Linked DNA regions of Cricetulus griseus. The protein of the gene in region 3 interacts with the protein of the main gene of each other region in a pairwise test. Links are inferred from orthologs where the notes say so. Each region holds a gene or a part of one and is shown on either strand. Other genes may lie near its edges.

Evidence for each region. The genes of interacting proteins can lie anywhere in the genome.
Region 1: the proteins of Epas1 (region 3) and Arntl2 interact in binary tests that used the Homo sapiens proteins (3 or more experiments, as listed by UniProt). The link is inferred for Cricetulus griseus from reciprocal best matches to the Homo sapiens genes EPAS1 and BMAL2.
Region 2: the proteins of Epas1 (region 3) and Arntl interact in binary tests that used the Homo sapiens proteins (3 or more experiments, as listed by UniProt). The link is inferred for Cricetulus griseus from reciprocal best matches to the Homo sapiens genes EPAS1 and BMAL1.

The regions. Positions count from the first base shown.
Region 1 is NC_048601.1:2,916,814-2,920,845, reverse strand, and holds part of Arntl2 (aryl hydrocarbon receptor nuclear translocator-like protein 2), read left to right. Parts: intron 1-647; exon of another isoform or gene 648-922; coding exon of another isoform or gene 923-990; intron 991-1,098; coding exon 1,099-1,256; intron 1,257-2,926; coding exon 2,927-3,006; intron 3,007-4,032. UniProt on the Homo sapiens protein: Transcriptional activator which forms a core component of the circadian clock.
Region 2 is NC_048596.1:87,395,279-87,399,310, reverse strand, and holds part of Arntl (aryl hydrocarbon receptor nuclear translocator-like protein 1), read left to right. Parts: intron 1-1,439; coding exon 1,440-1,532; intron 1,533-2,914; exon of another isoform or gene 2,915-2,977; coding exon 2,978-3,095; intron 3,096-4,032. UniProt on the Homo sapiens protein: Transcriptional activator which forms a core component of the circadian clock.
Region 3 is NC_048598.1:88,387,165-88,391,699, forward strand, and holds the start of Epas1 (endothelial PAS domain-containing protein 1), read left to right. Parts: upstream 1-1,556; 5' UTR 1,557-2,199; coding exon 2,200-2,225; intron 2,226-4,535.

The DNA.
Region 1 (4,032 bases), on a different chromosome or scaffold from region 3:
GGTGGTGATGATGGTGATGGTGATGATGGTGATGATGATGGTGATGATGGTGATGGTGATGATGATGGTGATGGTGATGATGATGGTGATGGTGATGATGATGGTGATGATGATGGTGGTGATGATGGTGATGGTGATGATGATGGTGATGGTGATGATGGTGATGATGGTGATGGTGATGATGGTGATGATGATGGTGATGATGGTGATGGTGATGATGGTGATGATGGTGATGATGGTGATGATGGTGATGGTGATGATGTGATGGTGATGATGATGGTGATGGTGATGGTGATGGTGGTGATGGTGATGGTGATGATGATGATGATGGTGATGATGATGATGATGGTGATGATGGTGATGGTGATGATGGTGATGATGGTGATGATGATGGTGATGGTGGTGATGATGGTGATGATGGTGGTGATGAGGGTGATGATGGTGATAATGGTGGTGTTGATGGTGATGATAGTCATCATAATGAAACAGAAACTGTAAAACGCTTCCTAGAATGGGCAGAAGTGTAGGCTTTTCTTTGCCTTGTGCTTTGGAGAGAGGGTCTTGATGCATAACTCAGGCGGGCCTTGAACTCTCAGTGGTTTTCCTGCACAAGTCTCCAGAGTACATGATTTTAAACATGGAGAAGCTTCAGTGGAGACCACGTGCTTTCAGGGAAAACCAGTTGGAAACGGAAGACTTAGCATCAAAAACCACAGCAACAGTACCAGAATCAGCGCTGTGTCTTTCAGAACAGGGCTCCAGCACTTTTGGACACAGTCTGGAGCTGGAGGGGGATGAAGTAAGGGCAACAGCTGTGCAAGTTTCAGGTCACCTCTAATGAGAAGAGGCCACTCACTGTCCCACAGCGGAGAGGGAGGAAACCACAGCCCGTAGACCACAGATGTCTTAGCTCAGGAAGTTCATGGTCAAAGCCGCTGGATGTGGTGGGTGCTTTCACAAGCACTTTCCCCAGAGGCGCCAGCTTCTCACGTAAGTGCAGCTGCTGTAAGAGCATCCTGAGAGCCATGGGTCCTGCACCCCTAGTGCCTCTGGGCAACGGGGTGAACATTAGCCAAGGATGTTCTTTCTCCCTCCCAGGGAAGCTCACAGCCAGATGGAGAAGCGGCGGAGAGACAAGATGAACCATCTGATTCAGGAGCTGTCATCTGTGATCCCTCCACTCAGCCCCGCTGCCCGAAAACTGGACAAGCTCAGCGTCCTGAGGAGGGCAGTGCAGTACTTGAGGTCTCTGAGAGGTAAGTAAGGATGAGAGCTGTCTCAGGCTATTGACATCATCTCTTTATCAGAGAGCTCTGTTAACTCTGTGGTTGGTCCTGGCTATGATATGTCTGTCCGCCTTACCATGACCATGCAAAATTGTACTCCTTGCCTTCATGTGAGAAGATAGGCTGTCAGACACTAAAAACCCCAACATGAAGGTGTAGACCAGCAGATTAGGAGCTCAAGGCCAGCCTGGGCTACATGAGTCCTTGTCTCAAAGCAAACAAAGTATAAAACGGATACACACTGCCACCTTGTGGTTCCTTTCTAGATCTCTGCCTGTAAAGCCAAGCACAGAGCAAGAGTTTCAGAGAACAGGGTGTTCTGTGGACCCTGACAACAATCTTCCCAGACTGGGGATGCAGGAGAGAGCAGAGCTCTCTGGGACTTCCTTTTCTGTGCTTAGAGATCTGGGTTCGTTCCATCAGTCTGTTGAGAAACAAGAGTCTCTTTTACCCACTCCTGAGGCTTGCATAAGTTACTTGGTTTCTCTTGAATCTTTAGCAATGAAATTCCAGGCTACACCAGGGTCATTTGATTCCATCCCAGAGATTACCCAAGGACCTTAATATTAGCCTTGTCCCAGGGGCATGAGTCAGTCAGCTAATTCAACACATATGAATTGAACACCAGCTATAAACCTATTCTCTACTAAGAGAAAGGAGAGGACAGGAGAGGAGAGAGAGAGAGAGAGAGAGAGAGAGAGAGAGAGAGAGAGAGAGAGAGAGAGAGGCGCAAAATCTCTGCCCTTTGGATGTCTCTGTTGACAAGAGGGTAGACTCACAGTGAGGTCATTGTCCCCTGGTGTGGGGACAGTGAGATGGCTCAGCGGGTAAAGTTGCTTGTCAACAAGCCTGACAACCTGAGTTTGGTCCCTGAGACCCACATGGTAGGAGGAGAGAACTGATCCCCCCATGAATAAATAAAAAATGTTTTAAATATAACAACACAACCCCTAGTGTGGTATGTGTCCCAGCAGAGGTGTGTGCTGGGAGGAACTATGGGAACTGAGCAGGGCAGACACTCTCTAAATCCATTGCCATTTCCAGGGGCTGATGTATCTGGTGCCACACCCCTTCTCAGCCATCATGTGGTCAGCTGCTTGTCTACACAGCCTGACCAAGCCTGAGTCAGCACAGCACATTAGTGAAGATGGCTTAAGACACTTGGTTCTGTGCTCCAGTGTGTTTGGCACAGCACAGCTGTATTGGTTCGGCAAAACCTTAGACACCAAACTTCAGAGGGTGCCTATGGACTGTGTTATAGACACAACAGGCAGAGAGTAGCCTGTGAAACTCTGGGTTGGAGTCTCAGTGTCACATAAACCGGGTGTGGTGGCACACACCTGTAATCCAAGCTCTTGGGAAGTGGGGCAGGAAGATCAGGAGTTCAAAGTCGTCCTGGGCTACATAGTGAGTTCAAAGCCAGCCCAGAATATAGGAGGCCCTATTTAACAAAAAAAGGAAGAAAAGAGGGAGGGGAGGAAGGAAGGGGAGGGAGGGAAGGGTCCCAAGAGTCCCCAGATGTTGCGAACACCACTGCGCCGTCATTGTAATAGCCGCAGCAGCTCATGGACGGTGTCCACTGAGCAATTACTGAATTTCTTTCTCTGTGCTCTCAGTAACTTTGGCCTATTTGTTTTTAGGCATGACAGAGTCTTTCTTAGGAGAAAATTCTAGGCCTTCATTTATTCAGGATAAGGAGCTCAGTCACTTAATCCTCAAGGTAAGTGGCTGTACTTGGATTCGGATGGGAGCAGGATTTCAGTTCACCTCTATTGTAGCCATCAGAGAGTCTGTGTCTCACATTCCTTAAATTAGACATTGGAGATAAGGAAATAACCTTGTGTACTAATGCCTCATTAGTTTGGAAGAGCAATGGACATCTCCATTGCAGACCCCCTCACACTTAAGATACCCCCACACACAATCCAAGGATCAACCATGGGCACCACCTCCTCAGTGCCACCCACCTGGAGTCCAGTTATAAGGGATCTGTCACCTGGAGACTAGGGAATGATTCATTCAGAGTTCTCCTGTTGTGGCCTCATCTTCTCACAGGCCGGGGCTTTGCAGACCCCACAGCAGAAAATTGGTGTTTGATTGATAGTTTTGCCATGCACTATGACATAGGTATGTGTTGTTCATTTTGTTCATCTTTCTTTCTTTTCTTTTCCTTTTTTTCATTTTCTTTTTCTTTTCTCTTTTTTTATTTTGAGTTAAGGTTTCTCTATAGCTCTGACTGACCTGGAACTCAATTTGTAGACCAGGCTGGCCTCAAACTCACAGAGATCTGTCTGCCTCTGCCTCCTGAGTGCTGGAACTAAAGGTGTACACCACCACCACCTAGAACATTTTCTTTTCACTTTAAAAAACTTACTCTTATTTTAGCTTAATCTTTAAGATTTACTTTTTATTCATGCGTGTGTGTGTGTGTGTGTGTTAGGGGAAGCTGCCCCAGAGGACAGACAGATCTCTTAGAGCACAGGTTATCGGCAGTTTGAATCACCTGATGTGGGTGCTGGAAACTGGTAAGCTGTATCCCCAGCTCCCAGAGAGTTTAATTCAAAGAATTTTATTATACTGATCTGTGGGGGAGGGGGGATGTATGTCATGGCATGTGGCTGTGTGCATAGATCAGAGAACAGCTGGTGGGACTTGGTTCTCTCCACCCACTTTGTGGTGTTAGACCCCCCAGAAAACCTCAGGTATCTGGGGTCCCAGGCCACGACCTCGGTCACCCCAATCACCA
Region 2 (4,032 bases), on a different chromosome or scaffold from region 3:
TTTTCTTACAACAGATAACTTAGCTTTGGATGGAGATGTAAATGGTTGAGGGCAGTAGTTCCTGAACCTACATATATTTGAACTGTGTTTGTGTATTTGGGCACACGCACAGGAAGGAGGGATGTAGTTAGGTTTTTCTTTGGGTTGTCAGCTCACCAATAATGACACAGAAACTTATTATGAATTATGAAAGCTTGGCCAATAGCTTGTTTCTAACTCAGTCTTATAGTTTAAATTAACCCATTAATCTTCATGCTGCCATGTGACTCATGGCTTTTATCTTTCCTCCTGCATGTCTGTTCCCTCTGCATCTGGCTGGTGGACTCCTTATTCTTCCCAGAGTTATCTCTCTGCCCTGTACCTCTTCCTGCCTAGTTATTGGCCATTCATCTTTTTATTAAACCAGTCACAGTGACACATCTTCACACAGTGTAATGGAACACTGCACAATGCAGGGGATGTTTAAAGGAACACAAGTGACCCATCTTCCTGCCAGGCCATTAGCAAAACCCCAAACTCCCTGTGAATGAGGATGTAGCTGATAAAAATACCCTGGCGAAAAGTGAGTATGTAAGGAAGAGCTTATTTGGCTCACACTTCCAACTCCTTGGTCCATTACAGGGAAGTGAAGGCAGGCTTTAAGCACTGCATCCACAGTTAGGAGCAGTGAGAGAGAGTAATGCATGGATCCTTGCAAGTTGTAGTCAGAAACAAAGAGAATAAATGCACAAGTCCCTGCCTGCCTGCTTGCTCAGTTTTTCTCCTCTCTTATACTGTTGAGGACCTTCTACCTAAGGAATGGTGTTGCTCCAACAGACAGAAATGCCCACAGGTCAATCTGATCAACATAATTCCTCCTTAAGACTCTCTTCCTGCGGGCTGGAGAGATGGCTCAGGGGTTAAGAACACTGGCTGTTCTTCCAGAGGTCCTGAGTTCAATTCCCAGCAACCACATGGTGGCTCACAGCCATCTATAATGAGATCTGGTGTTCTTTTCTGGCGTGCAGGCAGAACATTGTATATATGATAGATAAATCTTAAAAAAAAAAAAAAGACTCTTCCTGGGTGGCTCCAGACTGTCACGTTGAGAGCTGAAGTTGATTGGGGCAGAGGGACTGTATATAATTAGAGTACTGAAGCATAATACTCTGGCCTGTCAGACAACCAGATTATGTTTAAGCTGAATTCGTTCTGAAACAGACTTTATTTAATTGACCTTTCCCCTCTGATCATTAGATGACATGGAATCTATAGCTGCCTGAGAGGGGATCTTACTGCTTTCATATAGTATTGTCGCTAAGCATCCTCTTTCTCTACCACCAGTGAAGGTGTCAGTGCGTGACTCCAGGCATTGGAGACTTAGAAAACGAATCCCTGATTTACTTTCAGATCCTGTATCCTGACCTGTGATAAATTGATTATCCATTTCTCCTGATTAGGCAGCAGATGGATTTTTGTTTGTCGTAGGATGTGACAGAGGGAAGATCCTCTTCGTCTCTGAGTCCGTCTTCAAGATCCTCAATTATAGCCAGGTAACCTTCGAGCCCATGCTAGCAGCCACCAGCTTTATGGTAGTGAGAGATAAAACCCCAGTTTTTCAGAAGAATTAAACTATATGGACCACAGGTGATACCCTTCTTCCAGAAATTCTTAACTTCTTAATGGAGAAAGGAATTTAGACTTAGGAAGAATTTTAATGGGTCCTCTATTTCCCCAACTGGAATATCTGACTCTGACCCAACCAACAGTTTGTTTTCTTATTGCTACAAAATGAAGATCCCATGTCTGTGGACTAGGAGTGGGGAGTAAGGCTGTCTGACAAGGGAGAATTCAATACCCAAGAATAAGAATCTTGGAAACTTACCCCACAGTGCTACGATGCTCTGTGAGCCTTGGCATCCTCTACACATTAATAATAATGACCAGGTGGCCTTAGTTTCTTGTCTTGTTATAAAACACACTGACAGAAGTCAACACAAGGGTGAAAGGGTTTATTGCAGATCAGGTGGAGGTTACAGTCCATCAGGGGCCTTAGGCAGCTGGTCACATCACATCCACCTTTAAGAAAGAGCAAGCAATGGGTGCATGCAAGCCCCACCTCCCATTCTCCGTTTATTCGATCCAGGATCTCAGTCAGGGAATGGGCTTGGCTCAGTGGGTGGGTTGCCCCACACCAGTTACCCCTAGCAAGCGTGCCCATATGCCCATCTTTCAGGGGATTCTAGATTCTGTTAACATTAACTGTCCTACACAGATTTTTAGATTGCCTGTAGGATTAAATAAGAGGAGCACATGAAAGCTTCTAGAATAATCATTTCACCTATTGTGTCCTCAGAATATTTGTTAATCCATTTACTCATTTACATCTTGGAAGTTGCATGGAAGCATGGTAGGCAGACGGTTTTAATCAAAATGGCATATCTATAAATGAGAATTCATGTAAATTTAGCTTTCCCAAGATGCTTTACTCTTTAATTTTTTTTCCTCAGGGCACTTATTAAGGAAGGTTTGTAGTCTCTGTGAGTGGATATAGGTGACGAAAGCATCCAAAGATAGGACTTGGCTAGTTGGGCTCTGCACTTACCCTAACATTCAGGTAGCTGAGATAGGAAGAATTTGAGGACAGCCTGAACCAAATAGAGTCCCAGGAAAGGTGGGGCTACACAGGGAAATTCTATGTCAAAACAAACAATAACCCCTCAACAAATAATCAAGAGGCTTAATGTCAGAGCTGGAGATAGCCCAGTCTCTGTGGTTTTTCTTTTTAAGGTCTACTGGGGAACTCAGGAGTGTTGGACGTGTGTCTGTTTGGGGTGTCTATCCATGCAAAGGGCTGGACGTGTTCAGGGTCCCGTGAACGCTTGAGATGTTTGACTTAAGAACACAGTGGAGGCCAGGGCCATATAGACTGTGAGTACTGCTGTGTCTTCCACATGTCGCTGGTGCTGACTTGTCCATTCACATTTCATCCCCACAGAATGACCTTATTGGCCAGAGTTTGTTTGACTATCTGCACCCTAAAGATATTGCCAAAGTCAAGGAACAGCTATCTTCCTCAGACACCGCACCCCGGGAGCGACTCATTGACGCAAAGAGTGAGTGCAGGGGAGGCTGTATGCTTCCTCATCACCTCACACTGCCCCGCACTGCCCCACCAATGCCCAGGTACACAGACAGGTTCCTGGGGCCCACTCTGTCTTCTTACCTCCCTGCCTTTTTTCTTCATGATAGCTGCTTGCTGTGGCTAACTGGACACATTTACAGTCACTTGCTTTGTTTACTTTGTAGTCTACATAGAGAAGAGAAGTTTCAGTGTCCAGACTTAGTGGAAGAAGGAACTTTGACTTGATTCTGGTCATTTTTTACAGAATCTAGAACTTCCTAGATGAAAGGGCTCACACTGTCTTGTTCTCCCAGAACAAATCTCTCTCTCTCTCCTTCTCCCTCTCCCTCTCCCCTTTCCTCTTCCTCCCTCCCCTCACCTCGTTGCACTCATGCAGCCTCAGATGATAAGCCTAAGAACACATAAAATGCTACTGTTTCAGCCAGATGGTGGTGGTGCATGCCTTTAATCTCAGCCTCAGGAAGTAGAGGCAGGTGGATCTCTGTGAGTTCGAGGCCAGCCTGGGTCTATCTACAAAGCAAGTTCCAGAACAGCCAGAGCTGTTACACAGAGAAACCCTTGTCTCCAAAAACAAACAAAAACCAATGTTTCTTGGCTCCACACTTTCTGCAGCCTGGGATCAGCATTTCTCTAGCCCCAGCCCTTGTTCCCAGGTCATGACCCAGGGGAGGTTAGGCACACATCCTGCCGTTACCAGTCACTAGCTGTGTGGCTGTGAGGAGTTATTCACCTCTCTATGCCTGTTTCCTCACCTGCAGAACATGCCAATTTCATTGGGAGTTGTTGAAAAGATTAACAATACTGACTTGCTACATGAAGAATGTAGATTGTTCCCAGCACATGGCACATGTGGCATTGGTGTTGGAACCATCTGTGCCCAGGCCGGTCTGGCCTAATGGCTTTCTTGT
Region 3 (4,535 bases):
TGCTTGGGTTTATTTTTTTTTAATTATTGTTTGACTTTCCCCCCTTCCTCCATTCCAGTCTCAAGTGACTTAAATATGCTTACCGTTTATTATAACCATGTCTAATAATTTGCGTTTCTCATTAAGACAAATAAATGAGTCTGGCAGTGTTGTCTGGATGGAGAAGTGCTGTAGGAAATCACCCACCAGTTTCTTTGAGTGAAACAAATGAATGATCTTTGAGATCACGGTCAGGTATGTGGATTGATTTCCAAGTTCTCAAGGAGAGTGTCTATCGTTTCTGATTTCCCTGCTCTCCTGGTTCCTTCAGATACCTTCCCAAGTCTCTGGGAAAATGCCTGAAAAGTGCCTCTCTTCCTGTGTACCTACACAAACTCAAGATCCGTGTCCCCCCCCCCCCCCCCGCAGCAACACACACCGGGTTTCTGCTTATAATTTTACTAAGAAACGTTGGTGAGAGAGTAATGCAGTGCGTACTGGATTTGGGTCCCAGGACAGCTCACTTTGCAGTTGCTTGCTTTCTGGGTAAGTCACACATGTGAAGCTCATGGGCCTTTTTCCCAGTCTTCGCTTGTTCCTTCTGGAGATCTCCCCTTGGATCACCTAATTAGGAAATGGGAAAGTGTCAGGGCAGGAGCACCTCACAAGTGGAAAAGGCCAAAAGAGCTCTCTGCCTGCTCGTGAGGGACTTTAGATCCATCACTTCCTGAAGGTGGTGTTATTATTCGATAACCCTGGAGCCCAAGAGGGCGGGCAGATCCAGTGACTTGGGGTGTGCTATCAACGCTCACCCCCAAGATCACACCAGGGAACCCATGGTGATGCTGGCTTATTTATTGAGGCCTGGCAAAGGCAGGCCGGAGAACTCCAAGGCCCTCTTCTCTAGTATGCGCCATAACCTAACAGCCGACCACAAGCACCTCAAACAACCCACAAACTGGTAGAGAAAAAGACACCGCAGGAGCAACCCTAAATAATTTTATTTTTGTCACATTTTCTCCCACACCTTTTCCCCCTCCTGCCTCTCGGGACTCAGAAGTCAAGGTCAGCTGCGCTTCGCCAAAAAGAGCGCACCACCCAGGCTGGCAAGCAGCACTGCAGTCGGAGTCCTGGGAATTATTCCCACCTGTCAGGGGAAGCCGCACAGCTGGGGCAGGGACGCATAGCAGCACCTGTGAGTGCGGCTCACGCCTCCGCTGCGCGTGGGACCCCCCCCACCCCACCCCGACCCCGCGGTCCTGCCCTGGTTCAGGGAAATGTGCTACTGAGAGGACCCTGGAGCGAAGTCACTCTCTGGGCTCGGGTAGCCGACCCCTTCCACTACTCAGCCCGGCGCTGAGAGTACCACAAAAACAAGTGCTGATCTGCGGAAGGAGGAGGCAGGGCTGGGCGAGCTAGGGAGGAGCTCAGCCGGAGAGAAAGGGGCGGTCCCGGGTGAGGGCAGAGGCTGTGCCGGCGCCTCCTCATTGGCCGGGACGAGGCAGCCAGCGGGTAGGGGCGGAGCTTGTCTGTCTCCCCGCCCCGGCCCCGCCCATTCCCCACCCCGGCCCCGCCCCCGGGCCGCTGTTGGGACTCCCGCGCCCCTCGCGCCCTCCCGCGGGCGGGCCGTCCGAGTTTTTAAAGTGGGCTGGCAGCCGAGGAAACCGGACATTCGAGAGCGGCCGGTGCACAGCTTCGGAGTCTCCAGCGTTCCGCTCCAGCTCTCCTGAGGCGGCCGTACAATCCTCGGCAGTGTCCTGAGACTGTATGGTCATCTCAGCGGCCGCACTCGCCTGGCCCCGGATTCTTTCCAACTCGCTCTCTTTGAGCCACTGTTTTTGTTTGTTGGCTGGTTGGTTTTGTTTTGTGACATCCCAGAAAACTGACTCCTGTTTGCGGATAAACGGAACTTCAGGTCCCTTGTCTCTGCTCTCTCCTTTGGCGTCTTACAACCTCCTCCCACTCCTTTCCCCGGCCCCGCCTCCTCCTACAGGTTCCTCCCCGCCACCCCTCTCCTCCCTCCTCCTCCTCCGCACCTAGCCAGGCGTCCGCCAAACTTCCACCTGATTGTGCGGGACACTCGGACCTGCGAGCACTAAAGACCTTTCACACCTGCCGGGGCGACAGAGAGCCGCCGAGGGCCACAGCTAAGGCAGCGGCTGCAGCCCCTACCGGCCTAAGGAACCCAGGTGCTCCGGGTCTCGGAGGGACACTGCAACAATGACAGCTGACAAGGAGAAGAAAAGGTAAGCGGGCGTCGGAACCGGCGACCAACTCAGTGCCAGGCAGTGGCGGAACCGCGCGAGGCGGGCGCGACCCGGGACAGTTGCGGGAGGTCTCGGAGGCCGGGGGACCGCTCTGGAGGTGGCGGTGGGTGGGTGGGTGAGCGAGCAGGTGCGGACTTTACGGACGCGCAGCTGCCGCTTCACAACAAAGTCGCGAACCCGATCGTTCTGAGACCTTGAGTCACAGAGAGGTGGCCCTGGAGGTCAGGGGTGCTTCCGCGGCGCCTTCCAAAGTCTGTCGTCCCCAGAACACCAAGCTCTGGGGTTTGAAATGTTTCTGGGCTGATGCCCTCGACTTTCTCAGGGTTTACCTGCTGAGCAGACACGCCTTTCTTTTCCTAAGACCCCTTCAGGTCTTTCCGAGAGCTCTCCTTTGCGGGCTCCGCGCCCCAAACTAGTAAGGGACAGAGGGCAAAGCGCAACTCGGGGGCGCTTCCTGGCCCCAGGAGCCGGAACACGGCCAAGTGCCCTGCTCCTGAAGGCACTCAAGTTTTAGAACACCCCCTTCCCTCGCCCTGCATCTGGACTCCACCAGAGAGTGGGTAGTGACCTGGATTGCCCTGCGGGGGCAGGTGTCTTAGTGTGCAGAGAGAGGACGGCGACACCGGACCTCTCCGAGTGTCTGAAGAAGACAGAGAAGGGCAACCACGAAGGCCTGTCCTCGCGAATCTTTCCGCACTGGGTGAGAGGCAACTCCGGCCAACTCGCGCTGCCCTAGTGTCTCCTTCAATCCGCCCCGGATCAGGCGACACCGGCAGGGCTCTCTCAGAGCCTGGGTGCGAGCGCACCACGCTGCCGCGCAGCCCTGGGTACACCCTCGCCTCCTGCAAAAGTTTGTGGCTAGTCGCCTGGCCCTTTGCTCCTGTTTCGACCGGTGCGAGCCTTTTGGGCTAGAGCGTCTAACACTGGGCTCAGCGGCTACTTGGCTAGGGTGGCTGGAATCGAACGCAGGATGTCAGAGTGGCGCGGGCCGCGCGGGAGATCCGCAGGCAGGATGGAAAGGACTGCGCTGAGGACTCGGCCCCAGAGCAGACTGGCTTTTGTTTGGACTTCCACTTAGGGACCCGAGCCAGGAACAGTGTATCCTCTGGTCGAAAGCGACAGCTCCCACCTCAGGGCACCGATAAGGATTTGATAAACGAGCGAATCGCACCCGTCCTGGCCAGGCGCCCGCACCGTGCGCTGACGGATCTCTAGGGGGAAGGTATTGAGTCGGGTTCTAGATTCCCCGTTGTTGCCCACCAAACAGCTCTGGGGTGCTGTGTCCTTTGAGGTTATACAAGCAAGGGAAAAGACTCAAGCTGTAAAGGCAATCAGAATGCAGTCATAATCAAAACCGCGAAGTCAGACAGCCCAGAGCCGCCAGGGGAACTTACTGAACTTTTTATTCCTGCGGTGCCTATGGGTGACTGTCGCATTTGTACAGATGAGGCCTGATGGTAATCGGTGTGAAGTGTCATCTTGCTCTTAGGTCTACCAATCATGGGAAAAGCTGCTTCCATACCCGACTTACAGAAGCCTCCTTAGCAGAGGGCTGTTGGAGGGTGCGGGGAGCCCCAGTAGGAACAGGAAGACAGTTGCATAATAACACTACAAATTACCGATGAGTGCAAGCGGCCGCTTTAAGAACCAGTGAAACACGCTGGCCTGTGAACCTCCTAGGAGGCCGCTGCGGGTGTGCAGCTCCCTAGTGGTAGCCCAGCAGGGATTTTGCGTGTGTTAAGGTAAGGCAGGGCAAGCCTTGTGCAAGTTCCCTCACTGCCCAATGCCTGTTAGGCCAATGGCATTGAGACTCTGGTTATATTGGCTGGCTTCTTAGAGCATCGAGATGTATTTAAAAATTGTGAAGCAGGGCATTGAATGCCTCACGAAATTGTTGTGAGCTGCAGGGTTTCCTGAAAGATTTGTATTTTTATTGGTTTAAGAGCTGTTTCTTCTCTAGAATATAATTGAACATTTTTCATTCTAGAAACAGCCCCTCAAGAATCCAGAAGGATTGTTTCTATTCCCAGGCATCCCTGTATATACTAATCCATAACAATTAAGAGCAAGCCTTTTCATTGTTGGCTGGCTAACAGGCTTTGACAGAGGGAACCATGTCCAGCTCTATTGAGTTTAGATGAAGCAGAGGTCTCACCAGTCTTCCAAGGTTCCTGACTCTGGGAAGAGCTAAGTATGGATGTGCTCAAGTGGAGATTTGCAGGGCAGAGCAATTAAGATAAATAGAAGCCGGGTCCCAGGATGGCCAGGAATCCAAGTCCAGGCCCTAAG